Oryctolagus cuniculus: one gene and its partner. The protein of the gene in region 1 purifies or fractionates together with the protein of each later gene. This does not show direct contact. Links are inferred from orthologs where the notes say so. Each region holds a gene or a part of one and is shown on either strand. Other genes may lie near its edges.

Region 1 (3,750 bases):
GGAAATGAAGCTTACAATCCCAGAGTTCATTTCCTGCAAACTGACCACCCCAGGTCAGAGGCTTGTCCCCGGCCGAGGGCAGAGCCTCTGCCACAGACATTCAGCACTGCCCTCAGAGGACCTGAAGCCTCCGTCGGTGACCACGCTTCCTCCCTCCCTGGCTGCCTGGCTACCGGCCTCCAGTTCCCTGCCACTGCTGCCCTCGGACAGCAGACACAGCACCAACCCCACTTGGGCTGACAGCTCCTTGTCTGCAGCCTCCACAGCACCGACCCCACTCGGGCTGACAGCTCCCTGCCTTCCGCCTCCACAGGTTACTGCTGTTCTCCGTGGGCACAGCTTGAGACCGGTCAGGCTGATCTCAGACACAGGGCTGGCAGAAGGGGCCCTGCGGACACCTACCCAATAACATACATGTCCAGGTCCAGGTCCTGGTTGTTCAGCTGAAGCAGGTCACTGAGGTCTTTAGGGGGTGCTGCGGAGGCTACATTCCAGGTCACGACATGCATACTGTGGAAGGGGCGCAGAAAGCGTCATGGAGGAAGGAGGACAACAGACACGGTGGCCCCCCACACCGCTGCAGTCACATGGAAAACACGCGTTTCTGCATCTGATGGAGGAAGCAGAGGTACTGGACTACAAGCCCTGGGTCTTCACCTGTGTCCCCCGGAGCAGGACATCTGTGCCCCAGACTGGCTGCTCCATACAGACCCACAGCTGCCCACACTTGCTGTTCACATTAGCAGAGCTGCCAAACGGAGCCCAGAGCTTGTGGGCTGGGCAGCCAGGGTTTCCCGAAATGCACCAGCTGCACCAGCCATCCACACCTCACCTCAGCCAGCATCTATGGCTGACAGCGACTTCCGGCCCCCACGTCTCAACCCCGGGAGTTTGGAAACCACCAGGAAGACTGGGACGGAAAGACGGGAGGAGGAGAGCTCAGACTGCACCTTGCGAAGGCCTCAGCACTACAGCACCGCCGGAGAGACGCCACGCTCCCTTCCTCCACTTGCTCCCAGCAGATTCCCGCAGCACAACCAATTCTGGGAAGCACTTAGGGAGCCCAAGGAGAACTTCTAAGTGTCTCTCAACATCTCTCTCCAATCTCCCTGTCCCTGGGAAAGTCATCTTCGGGTGCCATTCTCCACCTCTGCTCCACACAGATTCTAGGGGAGCAAGAGCCAATTCGGTGGCTCTCAGAGCCTCGGCGCAAGGAGGGACTTGCACACAGAGCAGTTAACAGAAATCTGCCCAAGCAGCCCCAGGAGCTGCAAATCCCGCAGAGTTCACGAACAGCCAGCAGGCTGCACCAGTCCCAGGTGCACCGAGAGGAGGAAGACCCGCTGCTGTGGAAGGTCCAGCCTAGGAGATGGGGGGAAGGGGGCCGCTCCCATATGCCTCTGCTCCACCAGAAGGAAATTCTTGGCCGGCTTAAAGCAATTTCCTGCCCCTCCCCAAGAATATAAACAAACAACTCCAAGCCCACCTTCCCAGGCACCCGGTGGACAAAGTATTTCATCTGTTTACGATCTCCCCCTGCTGTCCGACAGAGGATTAAGAAAGCAAGCCCTTTCACTCAAAGGCCCCTTGTTTTCCCAGGCACCTGCTCTAAGTGCGTGGGGACCAGAGTTGGGATTTCTTGTCCCCACACTCAGGTCGGACGCTTAGGCGCAAATCCACACTCGTGATTCCCACCAAGTGGGTGATTAGCCCCGTTCCTCCTGAAAGAGCAGGCATGAGACCAGGCGACACCACTTCCCCGAAGGTTCTTATCTTAATCCGATTTCGGATTTCCGGAGGTCATAACGGGATCAGGCAGACCTCATGATGCATGTGCCGATCACAAACAGGAATGAGATTTCACCGCGACAGCCCAACACAACTGTCTGCTCCAGACACCTGCTAACTGGGCCACCCCTGCCCTGCTTGGAGTGTTCCAGTGGGGACGCGCTCGGCGGCCCAAGTTCAGAGGGGGCGCGAGGCTCAGGTCCAGTAAATCCCACTAGACCCTGGCCTGGGAGAATGTGGGAGGGCCTCTGGGTGAGGGCAGCCGCAGAAGCCTGTTCCCCTCCCTTCCAGTCTGGTCAGTCCCCAGCCCCCAGGTCCGCAGCCCCGGTGCGGCTGAAGGCAGCGACCGGCCCGAGCAGGCGTCTTCCTCACCTGAGTTTCCAGACATTCGGCTCGCTGGGCTTCTGCTCGCTCACGGAGGCCATCACGCTCTCGGGGTCGTCCGGCAGGCTCACGTCTGACTGCTCCGGCTCCTCGCTGCTGGACTCCTCCTGGTCCAGCTCCATGGCTCGGCCGCCTCACTCTCGCCGACTGTTTTTCTTCCGGATTCTGGCCGTCCGCCTCGGCTCCCGTAAGGGGCGGACCTCGAGCAAACCCAGGGCTCTGGGTGGTGCGGCTCGGCGAAGGAGGCGGGACCCTCCAGCGAGCGCGGCGCCGCCAGAGGCTGAGAGAAAAGGGCCCGGGGAGCCGGGCGTCAGCGAGGCGTGGCCTGCCCGTCCTCAGCGCACGACGTAACACTGCCCGCCGCCGGCACCCGGGCCCGCCTCGCGCGAGGCGGCGGGAGAGCCGTCTTCCGGCGGAAGTCGCTGCCGCGCCCGCGTCTCGGGGCCGCCGGTGCCTCGCTCGGGGTCTGTCTGCGGGCCTGGGTTTTGTGCTGTCCTCCAGCTTCCCGCCACGCAGAGACGTGCTCGGCCACGTAGCCACTGTCCCGCCTATGACCCGGGTCCCCCAACCGCAGGTAACCCCCGGCTCCACGCCGCGCTCGCACGGCCATTCCTGGTTCTAATCTATTCCACCTTCAAGTGGCCTTCGCTTTTCAAACTCATTGGTTTGCCTGTTACACACGGGACGCCTCCGGGTTCCTGGACTCAGGGAAAATAAGTCACTGCTTCTATTTGGTCTGCACTGAAGACCAGGCACCACAGAGATGACGGACAGCGCTCAAGATTCACTGCGAGTTCACTCCTTGGCTCAGTCTAAGGGGGCGGGGATGGAGGTGCACACAATCTAAGAAACGGGCTGCATCGGTCCGCAGGCCCCGCAGCCAGGTTCAGAGCTGTCTGAACTGTTCTGCTGGCTAGTGAACGGGGAGGTGTGGGGAGCGGGAAGCGCCGTGGGAACGGGCAGAACATGGCTGCATCACATTCAGCCGAGCTGTGTCAAGTGCGTTGACAAAGGTCGTCTTAATTTATGGAAATTCACCCGTGCAATTTAAGAGACATCATTGAACCTCTTCCTTACCCTGCCCTGGTAAAATGGGGGACATCAGTAAGAGTTTGAGACTATCTAAGTTGTAAAATGGGCATCAAAACATCACCAATAATTAGCTGGACTCCAGACAGCTCTGTCTAGGATTTTATTAGACTGCTGTTTTTTCCCAATATACCTGTATTGGAAGATTGAGACAAAAAGGCACAAACCCACATTAAATAAACAAGGTAATCTAATCAGTTCTACAAAGTGTAGTTTGTAAAAGAAGGAGCACTAGGAACCAACCAAAATGTCAGGGCGTCCCAGTAGGGACTGTAAAAGGAGAACTTGGGAAGGTAATACCAGGGGACCTCAAAACCGACCTCATCTCCAACCTTGGTGAGAGGACCAGAGCCCAGCACCCCTGCTGCAGAGGCAGCTGCTCGGAGGGGTGCGGCACCCCCTGGGGTGCTCTCCTGGAGCTGAGCCCCTTTGAGTGCTTGTCAGTTTCCGGGCTGGGGGCGGGGTATTTAAAAGTAGCCAAGGCTGTTG
Region 2 (3,650 bases), on another chromosome or scaffold:
GGTTTATCACTTAACATTACTCATTCACAAAGATGAAGGTGAACGCATGCAGTCACCTGCTTCAACCGAGAGCTACAGAACAGCTTGTCAGAAGCTTACGAGGCTGTCACTGCCTGCCAGCATCTGTCCCTAATCCCTGATTAATCCTCCCAGTGAGACTATCCACAAGTGTCACAACCTCCTGGCACGGGGCTAGGCTAGTGTTCCAGGAGGGTCACTCAAAGACACGATTCAGGATGGTAAGAAACAGGTGGTTTCTGGTTATAAGGGGAGCTGAAGGGCGTTATCCTTCTGGTCTTTGGAGGACCTGCCTGAAGGCTACACAACAGAAGAAATAAAGACAAATGCAGGCAAATAAAACAAGCTCTGACATTTTTAATTAAGCTGATCTGCCACTGCCAACTTCCAGCATTTCTAGCAGAGGCCTAACTAATACCCAGGGCTTACCCGGATGCTCATTCACTACTCCCTGAACTGGGCTGCACCAGAAAGTGGAGCCGTGAGGTCTTGCAAACAGGGGGATCACTTTAGGAAGTGACCCTGTGGGGTGTAGGTGTGCACTAGACAGAGGTGTCAGAGCTCTGAGGCAGAAAGAGAAATGTGCTCTAAACGGGGTGCGTTCTGTCATGTTACAGGGGTTAACAACGACAATGGCTGGAATAATAGGTGGGCAGAGTGTCCATGAGGTGGGGTTCAGTTACACTGAAGATTAGACATATAAAAACAAAGAATGACTACCTTCAGGACAAGCGACCACACTGCCAATCACCCAGGCTTCTTCCTGGTGCTGCCGAATGTCCCTCAGAATCCACTCTGTCTGATCCTTTGATACCACGAGGGCAGCCCCAACCCCACAGTTAAATGTTCTGGCCATCTCTTCTTCAGAGAGCTGCCCTTCCTGCTGTAACCATGAGAAGATCCTAGGGATCCTCCAGGTCCGGGCATCTGCAACAAGCAAGAATTGTCTGATTAGCTTCTTGGCTCCTACAAAAGTACAAAGTTACACACATATGGAGACAGAAATTACAATCAGGCTTTGCTGTTTCACATAGGACTAAAGTATAACTGGCCTTTCAGAACTTCTCTTTTTGGTGGGAAGAATACTTTTTTTGTTTAAAATATTTATTTATTTATTTGAAAGGCAGAGATAGATAGAGATAGAGATAGAGATAGAGAAAGAGAAAGAGAGAGAGAGAGAGAGAGAGAATCTGCTATCCACTGGTTCATTCCCCAAATGACTACAATGGCCAGGGCTGGGCCAGGCCGAATCCAGGAGCCAGAGCTTCTTCCAGGTCTCCCACATTCATGGCAGAGGCCCAAGGACTCGGGCAATCTCTACTGCTTTCCCTAGCACATTAGTAGAGAGCCAGATTGGAAGTGGAGCAGCTGGGACTCAAACTTGCGCCAGTATGGGATGCTGGCAATGCAGGCAGAGGCTTACTTAATCTATGCTACAGCACAGGTCTTGGGAGGTATACATTTGTTATCTTAGAAATTAAGAACCTTGTTTGTTGACAGGCTCAGTATTCACAACTGAGTGAGGTTTTCTGCTATGTGAACTAACTAGACCCTCAGAAGTCCCCTGATGGATTAGATGTGTGACCTTCAGTAAAGGATGGTTTACCACCTTTCCGTGAATGGTTAGCTGGGTCTTGGTGATGACCAAAATATACTCTGTATGATGTAAAACTAGGTGGCTTAGAGGAGATACATACACAATTCAAGAAAAGTCATGCTTCAGAAAAGGTTTAAGTTCAACATGCTGTGTATACCTCTGATTTATATTTAAAAATTTACTTAAAACATCTTTGAGAGGCAAGAGAGAAAGACAGACAGATAGCGAGGGAGTGAGCCAACTCTCATGGCCAGTTTCTCCCCAAATATCTGCAATGCTCACAGCTGGAGCAGGCTGAAGCTGGAAACCCCCACATAAGTGGCAGAAGCCCAATTACTTGAGCCATCGTTGCTGCCTTCCAGGGTCTGCATTAGCAAGAGGCTGGAATCAGAAGACAGAGCTTGGCATAGAACTCAGCACTCTAACATGGGATGTGGTATATTAACTAGCACCTTTCCTGCTATGCTAAATGCATACTTCCCTAATTTTTCATGATTTTTTTCCAAAAGTTAGAGAGAATGAAAGACAGAAAGATAGAGAGATTCTGTCCACTTCTTCACTCCCCTCATGTCTACAAGAGCCTGGACTGGGTCAGGCTGAAGCCAGGAACTCCACCCAGGTCTCCCACGTGGGTGGCAGGGAGGATTGGACTAGTAGTAGCCTGGACTGGAACCAGCACTCCAATATGGGTTGTGGGAATCCTAAGTGGCAGCTTAACTTGCTGCGCCACGATGCCCACTCCACTGGGAAATTATGTATGTGATCTTCCTCGGTTTCTATTCCCTCAAGTCAATTCTTATTAGTTGACTATGATGGGTAGAACAGTTCCTCTGACTGCGTCTCTATCCTAAAAAGCAGAGAGAAAAAACCCTGTCCTTCACTCTGTCACGTGGCTAAATTTTTCTACTTTCCCTTTCACCAGTAAATGTCCTGGAATAGGCATCTCTGCTCAGTCTCTACATCTGTCACCCATTTCCACACAAGAATCGGTTGGTGGTCTCTCTCCAGTAGGCTGCTTTCCGGGAAACTCTGCAGTACACATTGGCCAGTTTCTGGTCCTCCTAGACCTCTGTGCTGCTGAGCAGTGCCCCATCCGAATCCCTTCACTGGGCGTGACGATGGTACGCTGACATGCTTCATCCCCTGCTTCTGACTGTGGGATGACCTTCTGGCCCCTCCCCTCTCTTGGCTACAACTATTACTATGTGCACATGACCACCCAACTTACTTGCAGTCTGCTTTTCATTTCTGCTCATAAACACTGAAGATGTAAACAATCGTATGCTCACTTTCTACTCCAAACCTACTCTTTCCCCTCAATTAATGACGTTACCATCCACTCCCCTATTTAACTAGCAACGCAGGACTTCTTTTCCCTTCTAAGCATGAAATGATTCTCAAATCTATTTTCTTTTTCTGTCATGCTTCAGGTCCTCTGATTTCCTACGTGAACTACTTAATAGCTTTACGGCATGAGGGTTCATGATAGAACTTGAAGTTACCAACACTCTTTGAAGATCTGCACAGAGCACTGATTTTAATTTTTTCAAGAATTATTTACTTGAAAGGCAGAATGTCAAAGAGAGAGGGAGAGAAAGCGAGAGGGGGAGACATCTTCCGTTTGCTGGTTCACGCCCCAAATGCCCACATTAGCCAGGGATAAGCCAGGCTGAAGCCAGGAGCCAGGAACTCCATCCTGGTATACCATATGGGTGGCAGAGACTCAAATACTTGGGACATCTTTGGCAGCCTTCACAGGCAGATTAGCAAGGAGCCGGATCAGAAATAGAGCAGTCAAGACTTGAACCAGTGCTCTGATATGAGATGCTCACTGCAGAGCACTGCATTTTTACATTAGCCAATCGCATAGGAAGATTTTCTGCCTTACAAATGTGGATAATAAAGCAAAGTGGTAGGGTCAGGACTGTGGTGCAGTGGGTAAAGCCACCATCTGCAGAGGTGGGTAAAGCCACCATCTGCAGAGCTGGCATCCCAGATGGACGCTGCTCCACTTATCCAGTCCCTGCTAATGTGC

The links. The genes of interacting proteins can lie anywhere in the genome.
Region 2: the proteins of INPP5K (region 1) and GART purify together in Homo sapiens (co-immunoprecipitation; 3 studies listed by BioGRID and IntAct, counting the BioPlex papers as one, with this or other methods). This does not show direct contact. The link is inferred for Oryctolagus cuniculus from reciprocal best matches to the Homo sapiens genes INPP5K and GART.

The regions. Positions count from the first base shown.
Region 1 is NC_091448.1:47,058,322-47,062,071, forward strand, and holds the start of INPP5K (inositol polyphosphate 5-phosphatase K), read right to left. Parts: upstream 2,485-3,750; 5' UTR 2,295-2,484; coding exon 2,161-2,294; intron 1,417-2,160; exon of another isoform or gene 951-1,416; intron 511-950; coding exon 403-510; intron 41-402; coding exon 1-40. UniProt on the Homo sapiens protein: Inositol 5-phosphatase which acts on inositol 1,4,5-trisphosphate, inositol 1,3,4,5-tetrakisphosphate, phosphatidylinositol 4,5-bisphosphate and phosphatidylinositol 3,4,5-trisphosphate.
Region 2 is NC_091435.1:11,488,688-11,492,337, reverse strand, and holds part of GART (trifunctional purine biosynthetic protein adenosine-3), read right to left. Parts: intron 946-3,650; coding exon 739-945; intron 1-738. UniProt on the Homo sapiens protein: Trifunctional enzyme that catalyzes three distinct reactions as part of the 'de novo' inosine monophosphate biosynthetic pathway.